Linked DNA regions of Saccharomyces cerevisiae S288C. Changing the gene in region 3 together with the main gene of any one other region gives a genetic interaction. Each region holds a gene or a part of one and is shown on either strand. Other genes may lie near its edges. The genes, in order: RTT101, TEL1, RTT107 and RAD54.

Evidence for each region.
Region 1: mutations in RTT107 (region 3) and RTT101 impair growth when combined (synthetic growth defect), as found in Saccharomyces cerevisiae (4 studies listed by BioGRID, with this or other methods).
Region 2: mutations in RTT107 (region 3) and TEL1 together harm fitness more than expected from each alone (negative genetic interaction), as found in Saccharomyces cerevisiae (7 studies listed by BioGRID, with this or other methods).
Region 4: mutations in RTT107 (region 3) and RAD54 together harm fitness more than expected from each alone (negative genetic interaction), as found in Saccharomyces cerevisiae (4 studies listed by BioGRID, with this or other methods).

The regions. Positions count from the first base shown.
Region 1 is NC_001142.9:346,868-355,015, forward strand, and holds RTT101 (cullin RTT101), read right to left. Parts: upstream 5,242-8,148; coding exon 2,713-5,241; downstream 1-2,712. Other genes in the region: phosphatidic acid-binding protein CHM7, read left to right, coding at 1-458; UBX6 (Ubx6p), read right to left, coding at 580-1,770; YJL047C-A (uncharacterized protein), read right to left, coding at 2,177-2,311; AIM22 (putative lipoate--protein ligase), read left to right, coding at 5,519-6,748. UniProt on the Saccharomyces cerevisiae protein: Core component of multiple cullin-RING-based E3 ubiquitin-protein ligase complexes (CRLs), which mediate the ubiquitination of target proteins.
Region 2 is NC_001134.8:53,211-61,007, forward strand, and holds the start of TEL1 (DNA-binding protein kinase TEL1), read right to left. Parts: upstream 6,173-7,797; coding exon 1-6,172. Other genes in the region: 60S ribosomal protein uL14 RPL23A, read right to left, coding at 6,612-6,983, 7,488-7,529. UniProt on the Saccharomyces cerevisiae protein: Serine/threonine protein kinase which activates checkpoint signaling upon genotoxic stresses such as ionizing radiation (IR), ultraviolet light (UV), or DNA replication stalling, thereby acting as a DNA damage sensor.
Region 3 is NC_001140.6:399,642-408,315, reverse strand, and holds RTT107 (Rtt107p), read right to left. Parts: upstream 5,351-8,674; coding exon 2,138-5,350; downstream 1-2,137. Other genes in the region: LAM1 (Lam1p), read right to left, coding at 1-1,213; SPO16 (Spo16p), read left to right, coding at 5,634-6,230; SPO12 (Spo12p), read right to left, coding at 6,361-6,882; MTC6 (Mtc6p), read left to right, coding at 7,468-8,674. UniProt on the Saccharomyces cerevisiae protein: Required for resumption of chromosome replication after DNA damage, specifically in S phase. Is recruited to chromatin in the presence of RTT109 and RTT101 in response to stalled replication forks and acts as a scaffold during DNA repair.
Region 4 is NC_001139.9:191,392-199,436, forward strand, and holds RAD54 (DNA-dependent ATPase RAD54), read right to left. Parts: upstream 5,013-8,045; coding exon 2,316-5,012; downstream 1-2,315. Other genes in the region: CUP2 (Cup2p), read left to right, coding at 1-415; YRB30 (Yrb30p), read right to left, coding at 587-1,909; SUT1 (Sut1p), read left to right, coding at 6,747-7,646; YIP5 (Yip5p), read right to left, coding at 7,819-8,045. UniProt on the Saccharomyces cerevisiae protein: Plays an essential role in homologous recombination (HR) which is a major pathway for repairing DNA double-strand breaks (DSBs), single-stranded DNA (ssDNA) gaps, and stalled or collapsed replication forks.

The DNA.
Region 1 (8,148 bases), on a different chromosome or scaffold from region 3:
TTCAAAATAACCTCGCTCAAGTAAGAACTCAAATAGACACCAGTGCTACTAATGCGGTTTTAATTCAAACTTTAAGTGAATCCAACGAAGTAATTAAGTCAATTAATGGATATATTGGTTCTACCGAAAAAGTAGAAGACTTACTAGATGAGATTAAAGAGGGTCATGACCGTACCGAAGAGGTCAATGATTTATTAGCTCATTATAATAAAGGTCAAGACGAAGAAGCAGAAGAAGAAATTGAAAGAGAATTAGAACAATTAGAACTTGATGAAAAGAATAATAATAAGGAAGAAAATAAGAACCAGGATTTGCACGAGCCAAAAGAAAGCAGTAGCGAGGATCTATTAAAGAGATTGAATAATCTGAAGATAAATACAAATGAAGGACCTGTGCAAGATAATGAAAACCACGATAATGAGATAAGAAAAATCATGATGGAAGAACAACCACGTTGACGAACTGAGTGACTAATAAATAAATATATATGTATAAATAAAAAATAAATATGAATATTTTAATAGACGGAAGAAAGAAAATATGTGTGAATAACCAAATAGGAAATAAACAAAAGCACATTTAATTGTTGCCGTTATTATTAGAGTAACCTAATGTACGAACTTTGGTATTAGATGCAGAATTATTGGAAGACAAGTTTAGTTCAGACACGTTTTGTCGCAATTGAGAAGTACCATTAGAAGGATACATCCTTGGGGTAGTATATGCTGAAGGAGTCATTGAATCACCACCACCTCCTCCTCCCCCGTCCGACACCATGTCTAAGCTAGATAATTTTTGTAAAGAGTAGTTGGCGCTGTTTGACACATTTGTGCCCAACCTCTGGTAACCAAGACGGGAGGAGGAAGCATCTACTTCCGGTTCTTTCGCCCAAAAAGATGTCAAACCTGAGTAAACCTTGTGTAGAAGAGAAGATTGTTCCATGTAGTCGAATGTTTTGTTATTGGCTTCCAGCGGTTCTAAGATGAGAGTCGATCTGGGCAACAGATCCAACTCTTGCAAACTTTTGAGTTCGTCATTTCGCGTAAGAGTCACTCTTGGTATATTTCTGTGGAAAAGGTAAGGTGTTCCATCATCGTAGCAATTATAGTCTAACCACATCCTTACTTTGTGTAATTTTGTTTGAGGAGGGAAAGTATTAGAGATTGTGTAACCATTGGGCAGTTTCAATTGTAGAGTACAGTAGTTCTGGGCGAGAAACCCCTTTTGACTCTTGTAACTAACATTATCAGTAACTGTCAACTGCTTCCACTTCTGTGGCTTTCTTTGCGGGTCATTAGTATTTTGAAAAACATACTTCCTCTCCAACTTGTCGTTCTGAATCATTCTTTTGACTCTTTGATATTCTTCATTGCTCTTGGAAAATAACTTCCTCTTTGTTACTTGACCCTTAAAGACTGATTGTAACCCATTGATAAAGGTTTCCCAAGGATCCTGCTCACGAGAAAGGCTATTACCTTGGATAGAACATTCGAGTAGACCGTTCTGTAATATGTTAATGCTTGGCGCCGATGAGGAGGGGAAAATGCTCTTGAAAAGCAAGCACTCTTTAGTACCATTTACTAACCTTACCCACAGTATGTTTTCGCGCTCCTCGTCACTAAGATTTCCTGGTTTGAACCACTGATGAAGCCAAGAATTGTCCCCGGCTGCTGAACTAATGTAAACGACGATAACCTGCTCACTAGTATGAGAGTAATCATGAACAACTCGATCATGAAAGAGGCTGTCTATACCTGACATCTCGTACATTTCTGTTATTCAATACCTGTAATTCACTTCCTTTGAGGGTCAAAAATGTCCCCTGTAAGCAAGTGTATAAGTATATAATTATATATATGTGCATATATATGTCCCTATACAACTACTAACGAATCTTAAAAGTTGACTATTCATGTGGAAAAAGTCCCTCTTCTAGGGTTGACGCGCTAGAGGTAAATCCATTAAGGTTCCTCCTGGCTTCGTTAACTCCGAAAAGAATAGCATGTGCAAGATGAGTTACCGAAAGAAGCAATAAAGAAAGCACGAGTACATGTAGAACAGGGGCACAGATAATACCAGACAGATGAGCCCACTTTTAAGAGTTTCAAAACTTCCACGAATGCACAGGGAGAATAAAGTACGCGCTGGGTCCGTTACGATTCGTGCTGCAAGAGGTTTAAAATCGCTCCACAATGGTCTCGCCCCTCGGCCCTTCTCCAATTACAAGCATATTACTAATACAGTTTTCGTTTCTTTTGTAATGTTCAGATAGGAGCGAAAGACTAATTTCGATGGAAATTTTTATCTTCATTTCGATAGTATGTTCAATCAGTTGAACTATGCATCTTTGGTTATCATCATTAACAAATTGAAACGAAAAGCTATCCTGCCAAGAAGGCCGGATAGAGAGATTGAAAAAGATATATAAAGTGTCCTTGTCACACTCATACAACACCTGTTGTATGTCAGGCATACGGCAAATTGACTACAGTTTGCATTTGCACTAATGTCGTTTGCAGTGTAACTGTTGTATTGAACGTGGACAAGGACAAGAAAGATAGTTTTTATCTCTTGATGTTTTTTTATATGGAGGAGAAAGCGACGAAGTCGAAAAAAACGAAAGGAAATAAAATGCTGTCGGAAAAAAAGTTAGGGCTGGTACGGATTATAAACTATCTCAGTAGTTAGGTAATATATAAGATGGCACCAGTCTTAGTACTTGTAAGTTGCTGTTGATTCGTCCCTAGTTATGAATTTGTCTCGTAACAACTTGGCCAAGGCGTCTTTGAACTCACCAACACTAAAGCCTTTTATCTGCTGCTTTACCGTTTCAAATAAATGGTCGTAGTCTAGCCCATTCCTCTCGCTCTTAACGGATCTAGTTATGCATGCCTTTAGTAATTCTTGGGTCCATTGGGAATTACTTCCTTCGTGGTGTGCAGAACTGGTTCTTTCACCGCCTGTGTTGCTACTTTGGAGAGACGCGGTTCTCGGTAGAACCACACGTAGTTTCCCATTTTTCACTTTTTTCATATCAGGTTTGAAGCTCTCGTTGATACTGTATGTGTTGTCAATATCTCTTGTCAGAATTTTATAATTGCAGAAGGATTTTAAGACTAGCGCTAAGTCTTTGTACGCCAGTTTCGTTTGCTCTGATATAACTTGCAAGGTCAAATGATCGCTTTCGTTGAATAAAGTCAGCACACATGTTTGGAAAAGGGTCAATTCAAATATTAGGTTAGTTCCATCCTGTATGATATAAGGCGACTCCACTTCGCAGTGGTGCAAGTTCCACATCGGATATAGCTCTTTTTTGGAAGCATCTGAATCTTCCACTTTATTCTGCTCGTGATAATTACGGAGAAATTGGTTCCACGTATCATCCATCTCTTGAGGTAGGACAAAATTTTTCTTTACTTCGTTGGATTGCTGAAAAACTTTGGGAATTCTTTCTCTATCAAAGATAAGTGGGAAAAATGACTTGCTGTTGTTTTCATTGTATGTCTTCCCGAACTTCACAGCAGCCTCGATATTCTCATAAAACGACAAGAACGATGCATATTTGATTCTCAGATCTGCCATAACCTCTACCGGCTGAAAGAATTGCGATAAATAGGGTTGATATTGATCTCGGTATCGCATTTCATCCTCTTGTGAGACATTTGTTATGATTCTTTGTTTGAAAAGTTCCATGAGGCTGTCTTTGTAAACAGGTAATATATCCTTAATAAATGAGGAATTTTGATCACTTTGTAAGATCGTCTTTCTGAAAATTGATCTTTCGAAAAAATTAGGAAATGTGGGAAGGTTAACGAACTTCAGTCTCAATATAGGAAGATTTTCGTTGAGATACTTTATTTTCATATCTCTGGGTAGGTCTTTTTTAGTTGTTTTTATCTTTCTGACGATGATGAATAAATGTGACTCAAAATATTTGACATACTGTTCTATGGCTTTGCTGGTACTTCCAAGTAAATTACATAAATGGTACTCGATGGAATCGGAGTATATTTTGAGGTGATCTACATTAGCTAGCTGAACTACCTCATCAAATAGCCTTTCAGTATCATGATTGGATCCATATGCTGCCTTTAACTTTTCTGAAACGGCATCATCACAGAATTCCTTGAATTTTGACAGCATATTTTTTGCTTCAAAAGCATTTCTAAACATCAATAAGCTAAAGTGTGTCTCAGTTTTGAAATATCTCTCTTTTTCTTCATCATAAGTGTCCTTCCCAATTTCTATGTATTCGCTAATAGACTTCTTGTTCAACAGTAGATGGCTTATAAATAGGTCATTTGCATCGCTGACCCATTCAGGGGAAAATAAAGATGCTAATAATGCATTCCTCGTCAATAGTACCTTAAAATTCTTGAAAGTTTCCAGCCTCGGCCTTAAATTTGATTCCTCACAGTAATATTGTCTGAGAGTTTTCATATAAAAATCTTTGGGGCTCAAGCCCTCTATACTAAAATTGCAGTTAGACATTATACGGAGCATAGGAACTTCCTTCTCTAACATTGTATTCGTTATTGGAAACATATGAATATAGTGATGAATAGTAGCGCTTACAAGGGTGGAAAATTCCCTTCCAAAATGTGACTTCATACATTCGAAAAGTTTGGAATCATAATACTGAAATATCGTTAAGGTCTCAAATCCTAGTTCTTTTCTTATCATGGGATAATTTACCGGCACATACGATATAATAGGACCAACGGCACCCATTACGTACTGAAATAGCTTGTAAAAAGAGGTCCAATTTTTGGGTATAATTTCATAAGAATAGTCGCATCTGGTCAAAAAGCTAAGGACGTGCGCGTCAATTATTAACTTTGCCAATTCATCACAAAATTCTTGAAAACTCAGCACAATTTGGTGTTGATGTAGCAGCTGAAACTTCTTTTGCTTTTCGTCATTCCCATTAAATTCTGAGTTGTAAGGAATGTATGATTTCCTTTGCGTTAATTCACGGCAATTGTTCAACATCTTAGGCATTAGCTTTCTAAATTTAGCGGCCTTTTCTTTATTACACTCCAATTCTTTCACGTCAGTTTCAGTTATAGTTTCAGCTAAAGTAAGGTGAAAAAACTCGTGCAGCTCAGCAATCATCGTTCGATACCTGGGATTTCGCTCATCGTTAAATTTATTGTATAGTCCTAAAGCGTTGCTTGCACTCGTCTCTCTGCTTATAGACTCGTGGAATCCTTCTCTCTTGGAAACGCTCTCATTTATCATTGTTCCTGTGAACCCGTACGAGAATTTATACCAGTAAAAAAGATTGGTGGGTTTAATATCTTGAGGATTCCTTCAAAGTAGTCTTTTAGTGCAAAGATATCGATGATCTTCATTCGCATTGTTCATATTCATCATTACGCAAAGGATAGCTATGCGTTCCGCTTCGTCATACTTAATCAGGAATATTGAACATCCAAAAATCTCCGAGCTCACGTATGTAGAATTTTTGATGAATACAAAAGAAGAAAACACTAGACTTTTCTTTGATGTTTACATTATGTCTATGATGCTAAGTAATTGGGCACTCTCCCCTCGATATGTGGGACAGCGAAACCTCATACATTGCACCACTTTATTTCACACACTTACACGATGGGCAAAAGACGCAGACGATAAATATCATGATATAAACTCAATGTATGAAAACATGTTTACACCTTCAAATGATAACGTTTCAATTTTGCAGGATGAAGGTAAATCTGATTATGATACGACGAAGGCCAGCTCTATGGAAGAAGATATCAGTGCTTTTAATAAAGACTTGTACAATTTCTATAATATTGGATATGCCAAACAGATCATGTCTGCTTCACAATTGGAAAATATAGTAAAGGCAAAGGGCAGATTTGTTATACAAAGTTTATCCACCAGTCCTTATTATAATTTGGCCCTTGAAAACTATGTTTTCAAGAATACACCAAGAGCCAAAAGAGGTCCCGATAATTGCAGACTGTTATTTTACATCAATGATAGGTGCGCCGTTATAGGCAAAAACCAAAATCTGTGGCAGGAAGTAGATCTTGCTAAGCTGAAGAGTAAGAATTTCGAACTACTTAGAAGATTTTCTGGAGGTGGCACTGTACTGCATGATTTGGGCAATGTTAATTATTCATATTTAACATCAAGGGAGAAATTCGAAACAAAGTTTTTCAACAAAATGATAATTAAGTGGTTAAATTCATTGAATCCCGAACTAAGACTAGATTTGAATGAGAGAGGAGATATTATTCAGGACGGGTTTAAAATTAGTGGCAGTGCTTATAAAATTGCCGGTGGCAAAGCATACCATCATGCAACGATGTTGCTTAATGCGGATTTAGAACAGTTTAGCGGCTTATTAGAACCCTCACTACCGAACAATATGGAATGGGAGTCAAGTGGAGTTCATAGTGTAAAATCAAAAATCAAAAATGTTGGTATAATTACTCCTAATCAGTTCATTGCAGTGGTATCCGAGCGTTTTCAGAAAACATTCAAAGTTGACGGCGAAATACCTATATATTACTGTGACGAGTTTAAATCTATAAACGATGAGATTAAAGATGCTATGAACACCTTACAGAGCGAACAATGGAAATATTTCTCGGGGCCTAAATTTTCAGTGAAGATTAAAGATAAAGGCTTAACAATTAAAGTCGAAAAGGGCATGATTTATGATTGTGATAGAAATGATTTAATCGGCTTGGAATTCAAAGGATTTTTGGAGAATATTGACAGTTACACATAACGTTGATGAATATTTCAATTCACTTGTAAATAACGTAGGTAAATATCAAAATTAAAGTCTTTCACCGGAAACTGATTCAGCATATTTCAGCAGACGCGTCCTAGATTCACAGCAAACTTCAATATAAGCGATACATTAGGAGTGTTCGTACTTTAGATCTATAAGAACTATATTTTGTTACGATTCAGCCGTCTCTAAATGTGAACTAAATATTTATACTGTTATTTGAGAAACCGACAGATAGTACTTAATTTTATCGATCATCTAAGAATAGCATCGGTATTGTGGTGACATTTATTGAATTTCTTCCGCTCCAGAATAAAGTTCCTTTTCACTTCAAAAAACTGCCACCAGTAAAGTTGCACCAGTGGTTTTTGAGCATTTTTTGTCAATGTCGCTTAACCGTTCTTGAACTGTATCCTCTTGACGTCGATAAAATCATTTGTAAAAACCAGGCCAAATCATCATTGAATAATTTACACTGTGTCTTCAATGTCGCCATTTGGACCAATAATTATCAAACTGTTCACAATTCACTCAAAGTCCTTTCAGCAACATTCTTATGAAACAATACTTTCTTTGAATTTGTATGATGAAACAAAATTTTTTGGTTATTAATCATTTATCACTCTCGGTAGCCAAGTTGGTTTAAGGCGCAAGACTGTAATTTACCACTACGAAATCTTGAGATCGGGCGTTCGACTCGCCCCCGGGAGATTTTTTTAATGTGCTCTAAATAGAATGTGGATGAAATTTCTCTTGGCCGCCGTACCCTTCTTCATAATTAATAATTTCTTTCCATTTTGCAGGATTATATCTGATCAATAAGTGATTGTAAAGATTTTGTTTGTGAGAAATATGTGAATTTTTAATTTTGGTTATAACTTAATAATTGTTGGAATTCCATTTTTGATAAAGATGAAAATTGGTGAATTTTGAGATAATTGTTGGGATTCCATTGTTGATAAAGGCTATAATATTAGGTATACAGAATATACTAGAAGTTCTCCTCGAGGATCTAGGAATCCTCATAATGGAACCTATATTTCTATATACTAATATTCCGTTTTATTCCTTATTCCGTTTTATATGTTTCATTATCCTATTACATTATCAATCCTTGCACTTCAGCTTCCTCTAACTTCGATGACAGCTTCTCATAACTTATGCCATCATCTTAGCACCATATATGATAATATATTGGTAGTATGACTACTAGTTGATAGACTGAAGAGAATGTGGATTTTGATGTAATTGTTGGGATTCCATTTTTAATAAGGCAATAATATTAGGTATGTAGATATACTAGAAGTTCTCCTCGAGGATTTAGGAATCCATAAAAGGGAATCTGCAATTCTATACAATTCTATAAATATTATTATCATCATTTTATATGTTAA
Region 2 (7,797 bases), on a different chromosome or scaffold from region 3:
AGAGGGCATTAGCAGATGTGAAACTTGCCAATTTCTCAATTTGAGATACTACAGAGGGATCATCGTATAATTTTGCAATATTCTTCACTGTTTTGCTCATTAGAGTGGCATTTCGTAACGCATCTTGAGGCGCACCATTGGCAATTGCCAGCTGAACGTAATTAGCAAGCTGAATAATGGATCCAAGGCGTAAATATTTCGAGCATTTTACGTTTTCATCTAATGAATTCCTCGAGAGCACATTCATTAAAGTATGTCTACTCTTTAACGTTGTTTTGTGATCATAGAAGTCTATTGTATTAAGTCTCTCCTTATCGGCCTTCATAATAGACATCAATGTTTGGGGGAAGGAAGTAACGTCCTGAGGGATTGCTGCTATTTTTATAAATTCAATAATCGCGTTCAGAGTATCCATCCATTCAGTTTGGCTAATAAAATGTTGTCGAGAATCAAAAATAGTTAATAAGGATTTTTCTAAACTTTTTTCAGCAAAACCAACGTCCTGTGGTAAATTTTTTATGGCATAGTATAAACCTTTGGCTTTGGAATCAACAACTTTTGGAGTCAATAGCTTCCAGTCTCCCAATTCTAAATTCCATTTGTAGACATCACTGGATCCAGAAAGTCTACTTTCCAATAAGCTTGTCAACCCGTAGAAACCGCTATCTTCTGTGGCCTTGATTAATGATTCCTTTTCCTCTTCTAGTGAAGTAGTGTAATTGGCATCAAAATCGGCGTTGTTGAAAAGAAAACGTTTCCACGTATCTGAGTCAATTCTATTGATAGAGTTCAAAACACCCTCTATTGAGTGTGGAACAGGTAAGCCTGCTAGAAAATCGCCGTCATTTATGCATTCGTAAATCTTCTGAAGTGTATTTATATTCATTTCTCTTATGTTTGGCATGTTCATTTCCTCAAATAACAAATAGCCAAACTTGAACTCTTTTATTTTAAGAGAAATTTGACATATTTCTTGTAAATCTAAGCTAGAATATATGCGCAGACAGTTTCGTTCCTTGCATCTAGAACCCATCCTAATCATTTTAATTACATTGAAAAGCATCTTTAGCTTTATCTCAGAATCTTTAACATGCAGCAACATTGCTATTTGAGTGAATATTCGATTGCTCCAATTCAAACAGCTTTTCGGATCGTAAGTCGTTGAAAGAAAAAAGAGGTCAGTAAGTACTAATTCACAAAAAGCTGTTGATCCTTTGCATAAAGGATACAAGCAAACAATAGGAGGTATATTAAATGATATTTGGTGAATCAAACTACGGGCGAATTTGCTTAGCCAGCAGTTGTAGGGTTCGTTCACTGACAAATAAGTATCGCATATGAATGATTCCATCCCAAAATTGTTTGCCAACGGGTATATAGCATTCAGTACATCCTTGTCCAATGGAGCAACTTTATCTTTGTTCTCGTTCATTATGTTATCCCTAAAACAAAATTCACTTTCGCTATTTCCTATTGAGTAGCCCACTAGGTACGTTAGAATGCACTCAGAAATAAAAAACACTTCAGTAGAATCATATAACTCAGCTTCTTTATTGAAGGTCGAAATACGTTGGTATATCATATGTGGTTGTTCGGGATGGCGAAATACCATTTCAAAGTTTTTCAAATGAACTTCATTATTAAAGTTTGTAGATCTCTCTCTTTGAACTTCTTGCTGTAAAATTCTTCTTGAAAGAGCAGCGAACCATAGTTTGAAGTTTTTACTCAAATATTCCTTTGGAACATGGTGTTTCAAAATGTTAATTGCAGCAGCTTTAGAAAGCGAACAACCGATTTTTGAAGCTACCGGTCTCCTGGCATAAGAAAAGAGTAAAGAAACCAATACAACATCGTCTACGCCACAATCACTAGCATCCAAAAGTTCCGTATTTTCATAAATATCATCTTGGACTATATTTCCGAATATTGCATCAAGGCAGTATTTCCAAGTTTTTATTTTGATGAGATCCCGATGCTCTAAAAGCTTTATAGCCTGCTGGAAGGATGGACTGAGCTGTTTGTTTTCCCTCAAATAAATGAATATTTTGCAAAATAAATTGGGCAGAGATGGCTCTATTTCAAACGTATTTTTGTCAGCCAGATTTAACAATGAGCTGAAAATTGTTATTACTTCATCGTGAATTTGTGTATCTATTAAGAATTTTGAAAGCCGAATTATGATGAAGTTTAAAGTTGATGATTTTACAAGTACATTCTCATACAACACAAAAAGATATTTTAACTCCCTTGCACATCGCAGTTTTCCTATGTAAGTCGATGTCTTTTCAAGGTCTGTAATAACCGATAAAAACAAAAGCTTGAATTCGTGTGTGTTGTTCTTTTCATGAGCAAACTGCGTCTGAACTAAGGTTGCTCCTAATGCCAAGGGTATATGAAGTGGGTATTGATACCTCATTGAAACACTGGAATTTTCAAATAAATATGGCGAAAGGTATGAAGTTGGGAATAATTTTTCAACAGTAGATCTAAGTTCAGTAAGTGAGCCCAAATCAGTAAATCTTATGATCCACTTTAACATCAGTAGACGGTATTTTTTATGGTATTTTACTGTTGTTTTACCTGATATTTGGGGCAATATATCAAATATTAGTTCATTCACACCGCCACTGATAAAGGCAAGTGGAATACACAAGTAATAGCTGTTATCCACCAGATAAGCATCACCGTTTCCAGTAATCGCGTGTAACATGTCTAAGATCCATTTTTGGTTGAAACCTTGAGAAAAGTAGATTGCAGAAATTTCTACAAAGTATCTTCCTAAAAATTCATGAATATCGGCAAATCCAAAAAGAGATATATCCCATTCTTTCTCCAATTTAGAAGTAGGGACTTTTGTTCTGTTAAACCAGTACATAATCAAATCAAACTTACAATATTCGAAGAGCTCTGTAAGGTTTTGGTAGCGAAAAGCGACCGTAATTTTGTTCAGAGCTTGTTGGATAAACGCACGAGTATGATTGAAGCCAGAGTATGTCATCATATCCTCCAAAGAAAAAACTAAGCTTGGGTAAGACACCAAAGACAACATGGACATTGCAAGAGAGTAGAAAGCGGACTTTTCAATACTTTGCTGAGGCGGACCAAATAAGCTCTTAATCTCATAAAATATGATACTTTGATTCTTATAGCTCACTTGGGCCATATAACTCGAAATACTGTTCATTATGTTAATAATATTGGAGGAGTCTAGCTTTTGCAGGCATTTAATAAAAGTTGCAAAGACTCTCTGCTTCCCACCTCTGATTGATCCGTGGGAAAGATCATGATTTTGAAGTAGGCTAAGCAGCAGCATAGAAAGGTTGACCGTAGGGGCCACACCAGTGAAAGAATTGTCCTCAAATCTAGATATGATCCAGTCCAGGATATCATTGCAGTCCGAATTCAAAGGCTGCTCGGGGTAAGATAACCATTGAGGTCTTATTGCTTCGATATAAGATGTAAGTAAAAGCATAGCTTGATTGGAAGAACTATAGTGGTTGCAAAGCAATTTTTCACCCAAGACTTCAGTGAATTCTTCCAGGATTTTGTTGTAAGAAGATTTCTCCCCGATTGCTTGTTTTAACCACTGGCAAACAGTGCCAAGATAAGATATAAATACATCTGTGCTAACGCAATCAGAAAATTCCAATATGGCTACCAAACGCTCTGAAATGGATTTATTTCTTGAAGACCATAGGTAAGCTCGCACTGCTTTATCTATAGTGGAGTGCAGAGGCTTCTGAAATCTACCTCCAATTGTGTACGGACTATTATTCTGGGTAGTGTCTTCTGAAGAGGCTTCGAAGTAATTGATGGCAGAAGTTCCTGTTTGAGATTTGTTTTTTTGCATCCTGATAAAATCATTAACGATTTCCTTCATATTAATTTTGTCAAGCACTAAATGGTCTACATTTATGGTCCGTATCGATAAAACCTCCTCAAAAAATGATTGGTAGGAGTTTTGGCTATCAAAACTAAGTTGTGGAATAGTTATTAAGGTTGTTCTCTTATATGCTGCAATAAACTCAGAAAAAGTGGAATCTCCACAAAGATTATCAACTATTTGTATTAATTTTGCTACCCAAGTAAATTTTTGTAGTGGAGATGAAAATGCATCACTTTCAATATTTTCCAGTAATCTGTAAAGAATTTCATTATAACGTGTGAGGTCTAAGGAAACTTTTGGTAAATTAAAAAAGGGAGTGTTAAAACATTCTGACTTTTCTTCTGGTTTTACGCCTAAAAGAAATTCCCTCTGCTCTTGAAAATGTTGCCAAATCTTGTGGCTTTCATCCCAACATAGTGAGACAGGATTAGCTCCTTCGCCTTTTTTATCGTTGAAAGGGTTCTCTGGGTCATATTTGTTACCTAACCAGGATATAAAATTGCAGAACTGATCCTGTTTAGCATCAGTTCCGCGCAACTGGTTCCACTTTGATTTTAGCCACTCAAAAATTCTATCAGCGGACGATATACCGTTCATAGATTGGAAGTCTTTACCAACGTACTGAAGGTATCCCCATAGCATGAACGATTCATTAGTAACTAATATGGGACCCAAAATATCGGATAATTCGTAAAGATCATATATCTGATTGATAGTTTTCTCATCGGATAAAAGCTGCTTTGAAAACTTTATGGAGTTGGCTAATAAAAGACAACTTAACTGGCAAGATTCATTTGATTTTACTAATGGTAAGCAAACTTTAAATAGGCGTGCCATGTCGCCATTGCTTAATTCGCATTCTTTTTGGGATAATAAAGGAATAAAAGAAAAACAAACCCAATTAAAGCATTGGATTTTTTCGAATTTTGAAAACAGAAGTTCTTTCAGCTGTTCTGCAAAACTTTTAGTGAAGTCTTGTAAAGTTCCATAAAATGAGCACAATTGTAATCCTAGCACTTCAAACTCATGTGAGCTGTTCTCCTCTAAAAGATGAATAAGAAATGTGTCCATATCGTCAGAAATCCGTAGGATAGAAGGTATATCCGAATCACATTTTCTTCTTTTAAATAATAATGAGTAATTTTCATTTTTTCTGTTCAATGCAAAATATGTTAACAATGATTTGGTAATTCCGAGTATTTTTAACCACACCGATCTGCCTCCCCTATCTCTAAGTCTAAAATCAGGTAATGCAAACCATGAATTTTTATCCCTTGAACCTCGAATATATGAGAATTCCACATGGTTTACGGTAAATAATTGAGGCTTATAATTACTTAAGCGCAGTAGAATGTACTCACGGTATAGAGATACAAGAGATTCGGACCGAAGCTCTTCAACATAATTCTCTTGACCAATCATATAAGGAAGTTTATGGTTCATTAGTTCACTTGACATAACATCAAACAGTGATAATTGGTCTTGTACTAGCTCATTGGAAGTACAGCCAATTGTCAGGTTGTAACTCCATGCTTCTTTTATAAGCATTAGCGTATCAATAACACTAAAACAATGGCACTTCAAAATTAATTGATTTATTAATGACATTATTAATCTCGTATTTCCATTTTCTTTTTTGCTGAGCCTCAAAAAATCTATTACGGTCCAAGTAATTGTCCTTGTCACTTGAAATATACCAACTGTGTCTAACGCCAATAAATTCAGGAGGATCGATATGAAATTGGTCAATGTTTTGTCTACCATAGATAATTTCATTTGGCTTTGAAAGTACTCGCAAATTTTATCGACTAAGGATATCCATTGGTGTATCATGAATTTCAGTTTGAAAGGGTCACTTTTAATTAGGGCATCCAAAGCAAACGATAAATGTACTGAAACGGCATCCAATAAACTTTTGGAACCATCTTTGACCATTAATTCAGGTACTACTGCTAAAAGTAACTTCAACGTTTTCACTTTAAATCTCTCACATGATTTTTCTACAAATAATCTTAAAACGTACGATATCGTGGAGAGTCTGTTCTCACTAAGTGATAGCTTGTTTGTGGTTGACACTGTCAAGTTTCGAAGAAGGTCACAGTATTTTGTGTGTTCAGATGCAAGTAACTCTACCAAAGCTTCTGCCGTTGTAGATAGGGCCTTGGTTGGTATCCTTTCCGGATCTTCTTTTAAAATTGTTGTTAGCTCATCTAAAGCATTGTTTCTCTCTTTGATTTTTGTTGATGATAGAAAGTTTAAAGTTTCTACAATCCCATGATCCTCCATCGTCTATGTTACACTGATTTCCCTTTTTCTTTGAAGGCTTTTTTTTCGAATTTCCTGCTTTTTTTGCGAGGCTTTGAGAAGTCAATTAGTCTTGATTATTCTATTAACTTGGAACTAATTTACCTTGAAAAATGTCAAAATATGCATATTGTACGGCTGGTGCCATACTTGTTTCTCACTAGCAAAACATTCTATCATCTGTTATTCTTACCTTCTTAACGTGTCTGTTTGCTTTTTTGACGTACCCCAAAAAATATATAGACCCTCCTATCACGCTCATAATATCATGTGATTCTCTCGATGAACGATAATAGTAATATTTTCATCTAAAAATGCAATGAATTATTGAGTTTCTTTAATCTGTTTAAGAGATTGTTATTTATAAAGAAAATATATATAATTGAAGAATCTAAGAGTATGAGTCAAAATAATTTCCTTTTTACACAACAACACCGGAGTTAGATGCAACTCTTGGCCATAAATCGGCACATTCCTTACCGACTGGACCAGTGATGGCGGAACCCTTCATTTCACCCTTAGGATTAGCGATGACACCAGCATTGTCTTCGAAGTACAAAAAGACACCGTCTCTTCTTCTCCAAGACTTAGCTTGACGGACAACAATAGCTGGCATAACCTTCTTTCTCAATTCTGGCTTACCCTTCTTAACGGTGGCCATAACCATATCACCTAGAGAGGCGGCTGGCAATCTGTTCAATCTGGAACCAGAGCCTTTGACGGCGATAATGTACAAGTTTCTGGCACCACTGTTGTCAGCACAGTTCATGATGGCACCGACTGGTAGACCTAACTAGTTAAAAAAGATCTCAATATCGGGGAGTGAGAATAATTTTGTTAGTAAAAGCATAGGGAGAAAGTTAGCAGATGTGGTTAATCTTGAAAAATAGAGTTAAGCGTGATTTTTGTAGAAATAACATTTCGATGGTTATCCATTAGTATGGGCAAAAGAGGGAGTTAGGATATGCTTGCCGTGTATGATTTTGAAACCAGAAATTTTTGAGTCCATGAATATTGACAGGTATCACTTCATCTGCAAATACAGCCCGCTTAACCATTTAAAAACTGAATTTATGTGTGTAATTGCATCTTTGGCGGGGCGGTACCAGTGATGGCACATCTACCATTCTTATGGAAAATAACACCGATAGGTATATGATCAGGCTTCACACTTAGTGTTTAGCGTCTTTTAAACCTCTGTTTAATTCTGTTGTACCCAGCAAAATGAAATCTTGGAACTTTACTTTATGATCAATTTAACCAAATTGCATTGTGGAAAATAAAAATTTTAACATACTGAGATTCTAAACTTAGTACCTTGAGCACCGTTACCGGACATTATTAGTTATATATAGGTGTGTTGGTTTTGTATTGCTTGTAAGACCTAAGAGTCAAAATAAAGAAAGTAAGAGATTTTTAGCTACTAACCTTAGCAATACGATGGTATTACTATTAGCGGGAACAGGTACATTATGGCTACAGTTCGTTTCCTGCCATATTAATTTTTCAGCCCGAGCGTGTTTGGGTTTGATATTTTCTTTTTTACCTCTTTTTCAACATTTCCATGCAAGTCTGATGACGGTTGTACGGCTCGTTCTGTGAGCCGG
Region 3 (8,674 bases):
TTTCAGCTTGCAGGATGATATCTATGTATGTATTTTCTTCTTCTGTTTTGCAATTTGGATTTTGAATCCTCAATTTGAAACAAAAATTTCTAGGTTCTTTGGGCAGATATTCTACAGTTATCCATAATATACCGAATTTATCGGTTTCTTCGACATAAGTTTTGCTAGGCGACAGTGAAAAAACTCCAAAAACATTGTTCTGTAGAAAGCACCATCTTCTTACCCACACAACTCTTTTCGGATCATGACCAACTGTAGTTTTCATGTACAACCAACCCGATAGCCCTTTTTCCTCAGAATTATTTCCGTTACTTATCGATTTTGGAAGGTTAAACTTCAAATTTTGTATGCTTTTCAAATCATAGTCTTGTATCAGGCGAGATGGCTTCATTCTTGCCAAGCTGAGCTTCAGAATGGCATACTTAGCTTCAGATAGCTTGGATGACAATGCTTGTAAAGTCTGAAGGTTACTTTCTATCCAATCGGTCCAATCCTTTAATGTTTCCGTAAGTTCGGGAGTAATGTCGATAACGTCCTTGGTGTCCTTGGTAGTAATAACGTTATTTTTGCGCACAATGTCTATTGTCTCTATCAGGAATTTATCCAAATTAACTTTCATTAACGAAATAGCCTCAGTCAAATCCAAGGAAGCTTCTATATATTTGTGTTTAATATCGACTAATTTGAATGTTTCATTTTGCAGATTTTGTGGAATTAAAGTATTGCCATCATTAGTGGCCGCTAAAAAGTCAGTTAAAAACGAATCATACTTCCTTTGGTAGTATTCAAAAGTTTTTCTCTTGTTGAAGTAAGGGTTAATAGCATCAGAGCTCAAAGCAGACAATGCCGCAGTGTATTGTGAGTTTTCATCACCTAAAATTATTTTCATAACCGTATTTGAAAGGTCACTGACATCTCTAGTAAAGTCTCTTACAAGCAAGGGAGTATATGGCTGGTTACTGACAAATCCATTGGAGAGTAATATAGGAGAAGGGAGCAGCTGTGAAAATAGTGTTTCCTTTATTCTTTGGAAGTCTTGGAACGAAGGCTTGTACGTATTTTCTACATAATCCACAGTACTGTGCATCCAACTACTCAGAGATTCCATTCTGGTATGGAAATAATTGACAGAAGCTCTAAAAGAGGGGGAATCGGTGGATGCTTCGTTAAGTGCAACGGTTATTAGCCGTAGCTCCGCTTTGTGTTCATGCATTATAAAATTGTTCTACAATGACCAATACCAAAGCTATAGAAGTGAAAAACTTGAAATTGGCAGTACTAAATCGAAGAACAGACCATCAGCTTCTGTCACCCTAGTTTTCACTACAATAAATGAAAGCTTCGCGAATAATACCTACAGCCCTTTCTTATTCACCAAATTTTCAGAGTGTTCTCTTCAAAGTTCGGGTAATAGGTGATTTATCTTCACTCATATTGAGACGATACAATACGCACGAGGATAATAAGCCCAAACTCAAAATTATGCATCATACCGTAATGTTTCCCATTTAACCCAATTTTATCTCTCATCCGCTCCACATATATGTATCTTGGTACTGTTCGCATGTAAACATTATTTAAGATTTCTGACGTAAATCTATGGATGTAACCTGTTTAATTATTAGATCAAAAAGTTCTTACTAACGTTAGTAGTTGGCTTGAGCCATTAAATTTTGCGTCATTAACATTGCGGATACTCTCGTAATAATATACCTAAAATACACTAGGTTTGGAACATTGTTCTTGACGCATTGAGTAGAAGGGCTCTCCGCTGTGTGAATATCTCAGAGTGGAAAATTGTACAATAGAGTTGCTTTACGCATTCTGGCCATGAATCTGTTTTTATCCATGAAATTGTAGAAAAATTAAAAGGTTTGCGGATAAAGTGTGGAATAAATGATTCTACTCACGGTACTATTTGACCCTTTGTATCCTATATTAGAAATGCTTTATTAAACAATCTAATTCAAAGACAGTACCAAATAATTGTTTCTAACTAGACATTTAAAATGGTCTGTTAATCATATGTGGGTTGTTTGTTGAACATAAGATTTTCTACAACGCATCTTTATAATTATTATATATTTATTTGTTATCAGTGTCGTATGTCAGATGACGTAATATATAGTGTCCATTTTTAGTTATTTTTCTTTTGATACAAAACATTTTTCTTTGATGTAAAATCAACATTGAGATGAAAAATTGATTCAACACACCAATTCCATTCAACAATCAAAATTGTTTCGTTTTTATCACGATCATTAATCAGTTTGGTAAATTTTTTAACCTGTGAAGCTTTGGTGACGATAAGTACGTATTTAAAAATGCCTCCGTTTTCCTGCTTAGAAACGTCATTTGGGATTATGTCTTCAAATGTGCATTTCTTACTACGTAAAACGTTGATTTTTTCGATACCATGTGCCTTTAGAACAGAGCCTATTGTATCTACACCACCCGGTATATCATTGACTAAGTTAATGCATCTAATATTCGCTCTTTCGAACACCTTAGTAGGTAGTTTGGTTTTTGATATTATACTCTCATTAATTCCATTTATCTCATAATCAAACAAGTTTATATTTATTTGAGAAAGTTTATCTTTTTTAGAATGAATTTGTTTCAGTAAATCAATAATAAATTCAGGTTTCAATGCGAATTTTAACGGTTCAAAACTTAAGCTTTTTAAAAATTTCTCGGTTCTCAAAATCTTTGGAGCAAAAATACAATTCAATTTATCCGTTTCTTTAATATTGTCAAAAATTTTTATACCTAGTTGGTTCAATATTTCGATGTCAACCTCATTAAATCCATCATGGAAACAACCGGTGCAAACCGCTTTTAGGTCATAATTTGGTAGTTCATTAAATCTAGCTAATATCTTTTCCGCTTTAGTAGCCAGTTCTTTGTTATTATTTGACCTTTCAACATCTTGGGACAATGAAATCTCCTCGCTATCAATTCTCTTCCTTTTAAAGTTTTTCTGAAATTCATTTAATGATTCAATATCTGTATGCAATCTCTTCGCAGCTTGTGTCTTTGCTAACCTTGAATTGCCACTTGATGGCATAAAAACTTGCGTTTGCGCGGTGGTTGGAGTATCAACGCCACTCGTAATATTTTGAGACGTCTTGGGTGTGGTATATTTGGAATTAACTGCCGGTTTTTCGTCATTAATGTGATCATCATTATCAGATAATCCTTCAAACAAATGCGAGAATTTATCTGTATCTTTTTTAGAAGTGACGTCTTCCGTAGAAATCAGTTTTCCTGTACTTTCCTCCCCTTGCTTTTCATTCGTCATTTGATCTACTTCAATGTGACATTCATTGGTTTCTTTCTCCTTTTCATTTTTCTTCGAAGTTTTGATCTCTCGTTTAGTTCGTTGTCCTAGCTGAACTTGCAGCTCCGTTTCTTCCTCTTCTTTTTTATAATCTATGTCATTCTTCTTGCGTGACTGTTCCCTTATTTCTTGTTTCTTAGGTGCATCATACTCCGTAATAGGTTTCGTAAACTCCTTTTCTTCTCTTTTTTCATGTCCTTCACAGAAAACCTCTGTTTCCATACTAATATCTGAGTTTGAGTCTTTCTTTTGTAAATTAGATTTTTTACTGTCAACTACTGGAAAACTTGCCCTTGAAGGTCTGGAAACAAAACTCCGTTCTAAATCTCCAGAATGGGTTACAGCCACCTCTCCTGATATTTTTTGTAATTTGTCAATCTTTTCATCAATTGAGTTCTCAAAACTACTAATGGGCGTACCATCTTTCTTTGATAATACATTGGTGTTATCGTTAATTTGATCCATTTGATCATTTGTGGGAGGCGGCTTCTCTGATATGGATTGCGTGTCGTAAGTCACCATCGATAGGTTTTTTGGAGTTGGGAGAGATGAATGATCCATTCCTATTTGGCCGATATTCCATCCCATGTTATCATCCAATTTAAAATTTTGAAATCTACTGTCTTTGGGGTTTAACTTGGAATTATTCATATAACATTGCTCTAACCACATATGATTTGTCACAATAATGGCATTTTGCGGGTCCAGTGACCATTTTTTTGCGACTTTGAATTTTTTGCCAATTGTACTCTTCGTGATCAAGTGTGTGTTTTTTCTTGTTAGTTCAGGTGTGCTAAGTCCTCCTAATATTTCTACTAACCTCTGAATATAAAACCTTTGGGAGCCGAAATAATTAGTGTACGCGACTGTTAATTCCTTAGAAGTAAATAATTTCGCATGAAATGGTTGGTGAATAAGTTTACATTGCGATACAGGTGTAAATTTTTGCAGCGCAAACATATAAAACAACCAACTTACGTTCCCAACATGAATTTCCGGTTTAATGCTTTTGGTTTTTTCTAGTATCGGTGAGTTAGCAGAGTGGCCGATATAACAGTCAATATCAGGAAAAGCTTGGTAAACAGACTTCAGATCGTCAGAAAAACTCAACGGAGTTACTTTGCCGTCCAAATCCTCGATAAATCCTTTCAAAAACCAATACAAAGGTGTGAAAAAGTTTAAATCTGGTGAGATAGCAAAGTGGTGATTTTTGAATAAAGTTTTGTTTGGATGAAGAGTAAGCTGCGATGATGATGTCTGCTTATCGCCAATAACCTCTTCCCATTTTGCGAATAACTGTTCCTCACTGGTGTCCTGCATATCAAGCTCACACAAAGTAGCAAGCTCGCCCTTCAAGGGCTTCGCCATTTTGAAATGATATAATATCCATATTGGATAGACAAATTTCCACTCTCTCAAAGGCTTTTCGGTGTGCTTGTTGGTCGATGAAGAGGAAAAAGAGCCAAATGTCAATTTACTGACCGTTGCTATGATCGGGTCCTGGGGACTTTGAACAATCACATGCGTCGTTCTATTTGAGATGTAATTGACTAAAGTGCCTCCTAATAAATGAAGCAAATCAGAGTATAATATGTATTCACACTTATTAAACGAGCTTTTGGAAATATATACTTGACAGTCTCGGAGCAAATGAAATGGGTTAGGTGAATACATATTTGTCCTCAAATGTCTCTTCGTCTTGACCGAATCCTGGACCCAAGTGTGTGATACCACCGGGATCAAAAGATCGAAATAAACTATCTTATAAAAAGGAAAGTTGATTGTATTACTAATGACAAAATGTACTGTTTGCGGGCCGAATTTGTTCATGAACCAATCTTTATCCGTCTTGACATCTTTCAAATTTTCGTTATAAAGCTCGTATATTTGACAGTTATTGCATGAATTATCCATCAAAAGCTTTCTAGTAGAGTGAGCGATGGGAAGCTCAGCCTCTGCTGCCACTAAAATTAAAAAATTTAGCTGCTCAAACAGAAGTGATGTGCTCATGGATCGTATATTTACCAGTATGCTACCTCCTTGAAATCTTGCCCAATAACCTAATGACTTCCATTGAATATACAATATAGAACATTGTGATGTATTTATTTATTGGCAAAAAATGTGACGCGAAAAACAACATTAGATGAGTGAAAAAGAAAAGTCACATCTGATATAGCTTACCCTGTTAACGCGTGAAAAGTGGGCGGCTAAAACCGAGAAAATACGAAATAGTGTAAAGGTTCAAGAGAATAAACTTCTGGAACAACATTTCTGGAATGGTTCAATAGAAATGTCTGAATTCTTTTGGGATGTACAAAAAATACAAGAGATTTCTAATGTCGAAGAACATTCTGTGGTTAAGTGTGTTACTGTGAATACGAGCAGGTTAATTTCGCAGCTTAACGAGGAGCTACAAGACGAAGAAAGTGGCGTCAATTTTATTGTTACACAGCTGCAATTACTGATAAATAATGTCTATGAGAAAATACAGAAAAGCCCTGGAGTTCCCGCACATCGTTCTCTGATGATAAATTTGAATTTCACGCGCTTGAAATTCTCAATAGCTTATTGGGATATCTTATTGGAGAGGTCACTAGATCTAATAAATGGACCATCGAAAACGGGTGCCCGCTACTTTATTACAGAGGTTACACCAGTAGACAGAAGTCGATATGTTGAAAACAATCAATATTTTCTAGCTTTTAAAGCTAACCAGCGTTTGACACGGAACAGCGTGGATATGGACGAGTTTATTGATTTTGAAATTCTAATCAAGCAAATAATTTTCGACCTCTTCAAAAAAAACGGAATTCCAGATCAAGATTTTGAAGCCATTTTATCAAGGTTTCATAATTTGGAAAGCTTGGTGGTTGCTTTTAATGAATAATAAAAAAAATGTAAGAAAAAAAAAATCAGGTATTGTTGAATTATTATTTACTTATTCTTTATGTACTCGTTTGCTTATTGGTTTAGTGTAGCATTTGGCTATTTTTGGATGACTAGAAAGGCAGATTTTTTTAGTAGAAATACTCCTCATCTTCATCGATTTCTACATCCTCTGAATCGGCAGCAAGGTTGCCTTTAAAGTTCAGTTTCATAGGATTGACTTTCTTTTTCTTTCCGAACATCTTAACTTTGTGCTCATTCAATTTCAATGAGCATGGTGATACCAGCCTGTCAGTCGGTGATGCAAATCTTTGTTGTAGTTGGAGTTTCCTCTTCGGATCCTGTTTTAAAAGATCCCTTTTGAACATTGTCTTTTTTACCAAATTGCTAGTGGTGTGTGACGACTTCAAGTTTGAAGTGCTTTTTTTCCTAAAAATTCGAAAGGCCGCAATCTCCTCCTCTAAATTAGGTATATTCTCTTTATTGGCGTCCTCTCCTGTCTTCGCCGATTCATTGTAATTATTGATGTTATTGTGGTGATGGTAGTTGTCGTTGTTGCTGCTGCTGCTTCTGGTGATTGTGTTTTCTCTGGTAATATCAGTCTTGAGGATGGAAGCCGTGCGTGCTGATTGGTCACTTGCCTTGTTGGACATAAATACGTTTTCTATTGTTCTTACTGTATATGTTATTTTGTTTTCCTACTAGAAGTATTCCAAGATAGTAACTAATCTGAATGAACGTTTGGCTGACCTCCTAAAAACTAGTTTGAAATGGCGCTTTAGACTTCAAAAGGAGGAATTCTCCTCTTGTGGCAGTATTGTTTCATGCTTTTGCTTACAATTTTCATTAGGAGAAAAAAAGGAAAGATGCCCTGTTTACATATTTCCAAATTAGGAAAAGATATTAACCATGGCGAACTGCATTTCAGACCTGCTTTTTTTTTTCTGTAACCCTTTTAAATTAGGGTTTGCAATTTTGGCATTTTTCTTTTTTCCACAATGGGAAGAGGCAATACAATGGGAATCATTGAAATTTCCATAAATGTTGATGAGTCTTTGGCTGAGCAAGTCACATTGAAGTGTTCGCTGCACGGTGAGATACACCCTGTTTAACTTTATTTGTCACCTTTTTGCTGGTATTTTTTAGTCGCTTTTAACCTCGCTTTTTCAAAGACTATCTCCATTCTATTCTTCCCTTTTTCTTTTGTTCATTTGCATTCGCATCGTTATAGACACGGTATGTGGATACTCATATACCTATTTATCATATGGTCCTCACTGCGAACGTGGGTTACTGCTGTTGACTCTACTACGACAGTTGGCGATGATCTGAATGAGACCGTTTCAGCATCTGTCTGGCCGACGATGTCCCCTCAAATGACGGTGGCCTTTAGGTCCCAAAGAGATGTCATGGGAAACTTAACTATAGACCAGCTGCCGTATGTTGGTTTGAATCTACGACGGGTTCTGTTGAACAATGAGACTAGCATGGTAAATGAAGGTAATAATACAAGATTACTGACTTTGTTCAAATCTATGCTATCCTCCGAAGCAAATGCTTTTGTCCTCGACTTGGAACAATATAATAATGATTTGAGAGTGGTAGATACGACATTGTTATTTAGCGACGTTCTAACTGCTTTACAGTCATTCATCTTCAGCACACAAAACAACCTCTATGCGAATATCATTGTACTGTTGCTGAATATATCAGCTCCTGAACTGGATTCCACAGAATACCGCCACCAAAACCAAACTTTGAACACTACTTATATACTGGACAAAAATTTAGGAAATAGTTTCATTTACAAGCCTACGGATTTACAAAGTGATAGAGCAAAGAATAATACCTGGAACATCTACGGAAAATCGTCCATTGACGGTTGGCCCACTCTGGGCTCTGTGCTATATGAACAAAAGAAGAGACTGGTTATAGGTGAGCTGACCGATTTTTTTAATGAAACTACTGCTCCATATATTTTTCCTCATGACGTCTTTCATTATGAGCAGGGGAACTCTACATTAGATTGCCCCTCTACTGTAGAGGGTCTGACTGATTTATCATCTATCCATTGGAGATTCTTAGATTCGCTGTTCAATTCCGTGGACATCAAAGAGTATATTTCGTGTGGTTTATCACCAATAATAAGCAATTCAGCGTACGTCAATAATGTGACGCAGTTAGCAGATATAATTCATGAAGGCAGCGTTTGGTCATGGGATAGTGACCAACCTTCAGTTACTCAGTCAACTTCTAAATCTGGCAGCTCATCCGGGACCTTAGAGGCTTACAATTGCGTTCTCTTGTACTACTTTGCTAACAATGAGACAGTAACATGGCGAGTAGGTAACTGTTACAATTCTAATATTGGGCTCTGTAGATATGAAAATATGGCATTCCGATGGTTGGTGAGATCAAATAAGGCTACGTACTTTGATTTTGATA
Region 4 (8,045 bases), on a different chromosome or scaffold from region 3:
TAAATGTCATACCAAGAGGAAAAGCAGCCGGAAATCAAAGGGAGGGTCATGCCACAGAAGGGCAAATGATGAAGCAGCGCATGTCAATGGTCTCGGTATTGCAGATCTGGACGTTCTTTTGGGCCTAAATGGTCGCTCGTCGGATGTAGACATGACAACCACATTGCCGAGTTTGAAGCCACCTCTGCAAAACGGAGAAATTAAGGCCGACAGCATTGACAATCTTGATTTGGCTTCCCTCGATCCGCTTGAGCAAAGCCCTAGTATATCTATGGAACCTGTTAGTATCAATGAAACAGGAAGCGCATATACAACTACGAACACAGCACTAAACGATATTGACATTCCATTCTCCATCAATGAGTTGAACGAGCTATACAAACAAGTATCTTCGCATAACTCACATTCACAATAATGCATCTGGACATCTATATAAATATACATATACATATATTGGCGGTTGTTTGTTCTCCCGGCAAGCTGGCAGTCGGGCCGAGATTCGGATAAATTTTTCCATTCGTATACATATACATAGATATATACAATTATAAAATTTGTCCAAGGCTGCACAGGATACGTAACCATCCTAAAGTTTTAGGTTTTTTAACTTTTTTTCTGTCTCTTCAATTGTCGAATTGCTTATTCTATCCTTTCTGGAGTTCGTATTTTCATCGTTCAAATATATAGATAACCTTTCATCACTCACTTCCAATATACTTTTCTGATCGTTACTTTGTAAGGACGTCAGCCGAATGATGTACTCCAGTAGTGTGATCGACGAATCCTTGTCCTCCAATTTATTTTCTTCTTCTTCTTCTTCCTTTCGTTCTTCTCCGTCTTTTCCTTCCTCTTCGTCCTCCTCTTCATCTTCCTCTTCATCTTCCTCTATCGCTTCATATCCGCTTACCGCATACCAAGTAATGTCATCGAGTAATCCCTTGTCTCCTTCACTGCTCTCATTTTCTTTGTCATCGCTCCGGTCAATCTTCAATACCAACACTGGAGAATCCTGTTCTTCTAATCGGAGAAGCTTACCGGAAACACTGAAAAACAGCTTCTTAATATGGTTCAGATCTATGGCAAGTTCCTGTGGTGTGTCTTCTTTGTCATCATCCTCATGATATCTACCGTCATTGAAGTCTTGTTCTATTTTCATAAAATAATCATACTTTCTGCCTGTAGAGTTCAATCTATATATCCTTGCTTTTGCACGTTTCATATCCTCTTTCCAAACAATTCCTGATTGCCCATTGTTTTCTGAAGTTAGGTTATAGAAAATAGAGAATAGTGTAACCTCAAATGTAGGCCCCACTTGAACTTTTAGAATCTCCTTGTCACCTGTTCCTTTCTCATTACTCTTCATTGCCTTTTCATACTTTCTATTGTTCTCGCTAACGAAATCGGAGGCTTTTAATAATAAACCAGGAGAAAGTTGATATGGGAGTGCGCTGTTCAAGTTGGCACCAGAAGTGGTTAAAGAAAGATTAATGAATGGAGTGATTTCTTCGATCCTCAATAGCAAGTCCTTTATATAGTTTTCTACCGCTTTAATAGCTTCATTCTGTGTTTTTGCGCTCCTGGAACCCTCAACTTTCTGCGTCATTTCGTTGATCTTCTCATCAAACCTATCAATCTCTTCTTTTAAATCCTTGGTTAACCTCAGAGTGATTTGCAAATTCGTGTTTCCCCTCGCCGCTACCAGCTTTATTAGGTCAATTGCACTGGATACAATAGCCATGCGGCTTTCCAGTTTAAATTTCAGTTGATCTATTCTTCTAGCATCATCCTTAGGAATCTGGACGACAAAGTTCGTTATTGTCTTTAGCGCATATGTGGATGCTATCGATATTCCGGATTTTATAGCAAATGTAACGGCTTGTGAACCTGCTTTGGCAAGAATTTCATCCATTCTCTTCAGATATTGGTGTTAGGTAATAGTTAAAGTTAATCCTTCTGAGAGTGTGAAACTGTATCAGATTTTTATTTCCCTGACAGCGTGAGATTTTCTTGCCATAATCTTTTTTGGCAGTTTCGGCTGGCACTTTACCACGATAAAACTGAAGATAATGAAAAATTTAAAAGCTAGCACAAGTATAATATGACATCGCTCAACTTTTTTTACCCTTAAGTTATACGATTATACTTTTTTGATTGAAATACATAGAGATATTTACCAATTTGGCCCCAATTTTCAATTGTTTATTACGTCTAAATATATATAACCATGCCCATCATTTAAAATAAATATGTAATGACCCCCCGACGATCGAATTCTACTTTTTGTTTTTGTTTTATAAGTACATGTATGTAAGAGATCAATGTGAAATATATTGAAATGCAAAACTGATATCATTGTAATGATGCTCGTTTTTTAGTAGATGATCATTTGTTTTTTCCAATGCGTCATGGTTCAAATGATTCCAAGTTGTCGCATCACCATATAACATTGCAGGGGCTCTCTTTAATTGTTTACCCTGAGCATTACAACGTTTACAATGGTATGTTTCGTGTGTTTCACATATCGTATTCTCATTTTTTTGAAACAACTGTCTTAAATTGTCAGAACTAAACAACCTTTCAACGTCTTCTTTCGCATCGACCACGCATGAACTCAAACTCATTTTCATAGATTGTCTTTGAAAGATTTTTTCCTCTATGGTACCAGTCGATATGAATCTGTAAATGAAACAATCCTTTTTTTGACCGTCTCTCCAAACACGTGCCAAAGCTTGTTGATCAGCAGCAGGATTCCAATCCGGATCCATCAAAATTAATCGATTTGCACCAATCAAATTGATACCACACCCACCTGCTTTAGAACTTAAGAGGAAGATGAACTCTTGGCCTTCAGGATCGTTGAACCTATCCACCAATTTTTGTCTTTTGTTAATTGACATTGTACCATCCAACCGTACAGCACTGTAGTGCTTATATCTACACATTTTTTCAATGAGGTCCAAGGTTTGGGTATAGTTGGAGATCAAAACAATCTTATCATCGGATTCGGTCTTTATCTTATGGAGAAATCTTTCCAAAATGGAAAATTTAGCTGAATATTTTGTTTGTACGTCCCTGGCTTTTGAACCCGGCATATTATAATCGTCAGGTAGTTCCAAATCATCTTCATCGTCAAATTCATCTTCAAAATTCAAGAGATTAGGGTGATTACATAGCTTCTTTAAAATACCAATAGCCCTCAGGGGCTGAGACCCACCAACACCTTTTACTACTTTTTTCACTTCTCTTGACTTAATTAATTTATTGTAGAGCTCGTTCTGCAACGGCTTCAAGTTTACGAAAATAACGTGCTCATACTTGCAAGGCAAATATTTGGCCAAAATATCGTTAGTACGACGGATAATAAATTTGGAGACAATGGTAGATAGCTTCTGTAATTGCGCCTCGCCCTTTGTGATTTCTTTATCAGTAGCATCAGCATCACGCCCTCGCAAAATTGGATTCTCAAAATTTTTCCTAAATTCTGCTCTGGAACCTAATAAGCCAGGATTCGAAAAACTCAGTAGAGCAAAATATTCGGAAAGATCGTTTTGAATGGGTGTACCAGATAATATAACTCTTCTAGGACAACTGATGCTATCCAAAGCTGTGAATGTTAAAGAGTCACCGTTTTTCAAACGGTGCCCTTCATCTGCCAGCATTAAACCCACATTGCAGTTTTTCAATTGATCAACATTTCGACGTAATGTTTCATACGATATGATTAAAACGGGCTTAACAATATTTCTTCCCTGTGCCTGAGCCCAGGCATGAATAGCTTGCGAAACTGTTGTATTACCACCACCCATTGAAGATTTTTTCCCATCAACCGCTAACGGAGTTAGAGTATTGGGACCCAACCATTTTATCAATTCATTAGCCCAGTTGTTGACTAAAGAAGATGGACAAACAATGATACATTTGTCGATAAGTCTTTTACCCTGCGGGCCCTGTCTTAATAATGTCCACATAAGTGCTATACACTGCAATGTCTTACCCAGCCCCATTTCATCGGCCATGATGCAGCCGTAGGCCCCTCTATTGTTTTGTTCAGTCTTTTGAGATTCAGTAAGTGCCTTCTCGTCGCTCTTTAAGGGATCTTCGCTTGAAGTGTTGAACGCCTCAGCTTCTAAGTAATCTTTCATGACAAGCCCTGTGACACAACGGTATAAGAATCTCACCCCTTCGACTTGATGGGGTCTTAAAATCTTGGCCAGTTTTGGATCAATAACCACAGGGACACTAGCAAATTTCTTCTTGTTTTCCGCAGAGTTTTCCGAATCACCGAGTAGCTCACGTAACGGTTTGTTTCTCACACCATTTGTCATCAAAGCTGGATGGCGTCCTATTCTTTGTGTGGGTCTTTCTTCCTGGCTATTCTTTTCCTTGTTAATATTATCCTTTTCCTGTGTGCTTTTGATCATTTTCTTTGATTCTTCTTCCTTGTTATCCATAGATGTGTCATGGACAATCATTTCACCGTCAACGGACGGGTCATAAAGCACTATGGCAAATTCGTCTGTAGGGTCATGTAGAGGTCGAGGTTCTGGAGTAATTTTTTTTTTCATTCCTAACGTTAATGGCAGACTGTGTCTTTGTACATATCCCTTGATTGGCACAGTGAAAGATCTTCTCAAAGTGTACTGGATATGACTCAGTCTTGTCGGATCCTTGGCCAACCTTTGAGCACTAAGAGCATCCTTCCGTCGTTTAGTCAACTGAGAAAAACTTATGTCTTGGCTGTTGTACTCTGCTTCGTCCGCATTTATATCCAAGCCGGAATAACATACAGTCGCTGATCTTTTCCTCAAGCTCCTTCCTCCTACGATATTATCAGACCCGGTGGCGATTCTACCAGCAGCGGGCGGGATGTGCGTGTTCTTGTACGGGACCCTGAACGGTTTCGTTAGTCGGTTCACCGAGTCTTGTACGTTAATAGGCCTAGGTACCAGTCTCGGCCGTTCACCGGCTCCTATTCCATTTGGTGGTCTGTCTGGTAATCTGCGTCTTGCCATCAGTTATAAGGAAATATATATGGTACCTTGAAATAGAGCTAAGTTCTGAGCGTTTGATTTTTCTATACTTTCGTAGCAGCTTTAGTGAAGAAAGAGAAAAGTTGCTGCTCTAGATTTTGTATCGGCTATTACGTCAAGTGAGAAGAGTTTTGGCCTTCGCTTCAGTTAGATCTTCTATTATTTCCTTTTTTTTCTTTTTGTTTGTAATTGTTTTTTATTTTTTTTTTTGCGCGAAACTTTGCTATATTGGGTAACGCGTAAAATACTTTTTATTATTGCAGTAAGGCGGAAGGGTCTTCCCCTTTGCATGTTAAATAGCATACATGGCACCACTCAGGTCCAGAACGTGACACATCTTTGCACCACTTGTGTATTTTCAAGATGTTAAATTTTTGATACATAAGCTTTATCATGCAGGTGCAGTAGACGCATTTGCGTACGCGTTGAGTAGTAATGCAAGAACGCAACAATTTCACGCTTTCTACTTAAGAGGACAGATCTTCGAGCAGAATATTTTTCTCCTAGCGCGGCTTTCAGAATCTTCTTACCATCTGCAGGACATCACATGCAAGCACATGAAGCTGGAACCACGCACCATTAAATGTAAACCTACAGACATAGCTAGCACAGAAATGCTACTTTGGAAACCTCGGTTGCATCGGCTGACCTCGGCTGTTCAGCAACGTGAGCTGGTTGTTGTTATTGTTCATAGAATCCTGTATTTTACCAGTGTAGCTTTGTCCGCCCACCCCACGCTTTTGGCCACTAGTATGTACGTATATGCGTGGGCTCTATATCATTGAAAACGAATTTTCCACGCAAAACCCACTTCACACCATAAAGGCCTTATGACGATGTACATTCTTCCCCTCCCCCCTCCTCCCGAAGGAACCCTTATAGTGATCCTAATACGGTATAACGTAAACCGGAGTTGTCAGCAGAGAGAAGCGAATAATATGTTTTGCGTGGGGTTCCCACGAGCGGCAGGAACCGTAGCGCATTGAAAAATGAATCATCGATCATCTTTGGGTTTCAAGGGTTCGGACTTCGCCAAAGGTCCGAATACTTCCACCAGTATTTCTCTTTTTCCCTTTCCAGTCTCGTTCTTCGCCGAATCCCCGCTTTCCCATCATGATCGTTTCTCTGTTTCTCTCTTTCCGGAACAGGCTCTTTTCTGACCGCCAGTTCGTGCGGTTAGTTCTGTGGATCTTGCAGGCACTTGCCGGTTTAGCCACACTTCTCCGCTGTTTGTGTCGAATTTCCCTCGAGTATGAGAAAGACTGGACCACAAAAGAGGGAAAAAAAATGGGCCGATTTTAAACCATTATAGGTCACAGAAAAACTTTCTTACGACGGTGGTTTTTCAACAATACGTTTCTTGAGCAGGAGAGGAGCTTTGTTCTTTTGCCTTAGTTTTTTTTGTCTTTTTTTGTGAGCCATCCTGCTGTCGTTGCCATACATGACAGATCCACATTTGCCTTGTTGTTTTTAGTTTTTGTTCCTTGCACCATATAAAAGCGTCACTTGTATTTTCCTTACTCATCTAAACTTCAAGCTTTTTCGTCATAGTAGGTTTGTGATCTCGGCAAAGAAAAAAAATTTTTTTGCCGATCTTTCTGGTTATTGTTTCAGGTATCTTTATGAAAGTATTAGTGTACGCACTGGATTTTTGGTAGGTCTATAAAAGTGCAACACATAATCTAAATCATTGAGGTCATCGTATGTCAAAAGAAGATGTCCACAAGCATTACAGTAAGAAATAGAGATCGATCGCTACCACCGCTATTGCTCCCCAATGTTTCCCTGCTAGAAAAAGATATACGGCGTAAAGGCACCCAAAATGTGGGCATCACCGATCCAGAACTCTTGTCGACCACTTGGACGAGGAAGCGGGCTTTTCCGACTGACGAGCTTTTAGGAGGCTATAAGAGATTAAAGCCTGCTGCCGCTGACAGTAATGAGTGCGCTATTGGTATTGCCACGGTGACGCCGCCGCCAACGCTCCCCGTAAGTGCGATTGTTCCCCCTCCACAAAATTACACTCCACCATTGTTTGAGTATCATCCTCATGCTCTTGCTTCCATGGTCAATGAAGACGCTAATGCGTCATGCACTCAAATGTCTATAATTTCGCGCTCAACGAGCAACTCGACAACCTCCTCTGCCACATCTACTAGTTCAATTTCCAAGAGACAAAGAAGTGGCCCAAGTTGTGACAAATGTCGTTTGAAAAAAATAAAATGTAATGCGAAAATTGAGATTTTGCTTCAAGACGATACTATAATGCCAATGATCTCGAACAAGTTGCGGTACGTCTTGACTCCTGACGATATTCGGCTATATCGAGGCACGCTGTTGCGGAATATTGCCATACCGGATGATGTCATTGAGGGTACAGGCTCACGCAAGTTGATTAAGCATATTGATAAGTTGGTTTTGCTCACACCTTGTTTACCATGCATTAAGAAAAAGCATTCTTCTTCTTCCACTAATTTCCCAAAAAATGATAAATGTACTTTTTCAAAAGGCTTTACCAGAGCTGACATAAACATTTCATCCAAAATCTCCTTAAAATTTAAGGATAAAACCATTTACGACATAACCTATGATGACTATAAAAGCATTGATTTTTAGACAAAGGCATCTCTAATGAATAGCATCACAAAACTTGCATTTAGCATTAACATATATGGATATATATGTACACACAGAAAACGTATAAACACTCATGTATAACCCTACATAATAAGAGTATACAATGATACTAGTCATAAAAAGTATTGTGTGTATAGACGTGCGCATATTTTCAAAATATTATAAACCTGAACAATAGACAGAATAAAGTATGCAGCGCAACGACAACGATGATGGACAGCGAAAATTTCCCGTTCGATTGTGTCTCCGTATTATTATTACTCGATATTTGAGAATTCAAGAAATAAGACGACTGTGCCCACCCAAGAGCCACAATTGCCCATTGAATTGCTTGAACAGTCCTCAGGCGCTTGGACATATCCAATATATTCAATATAA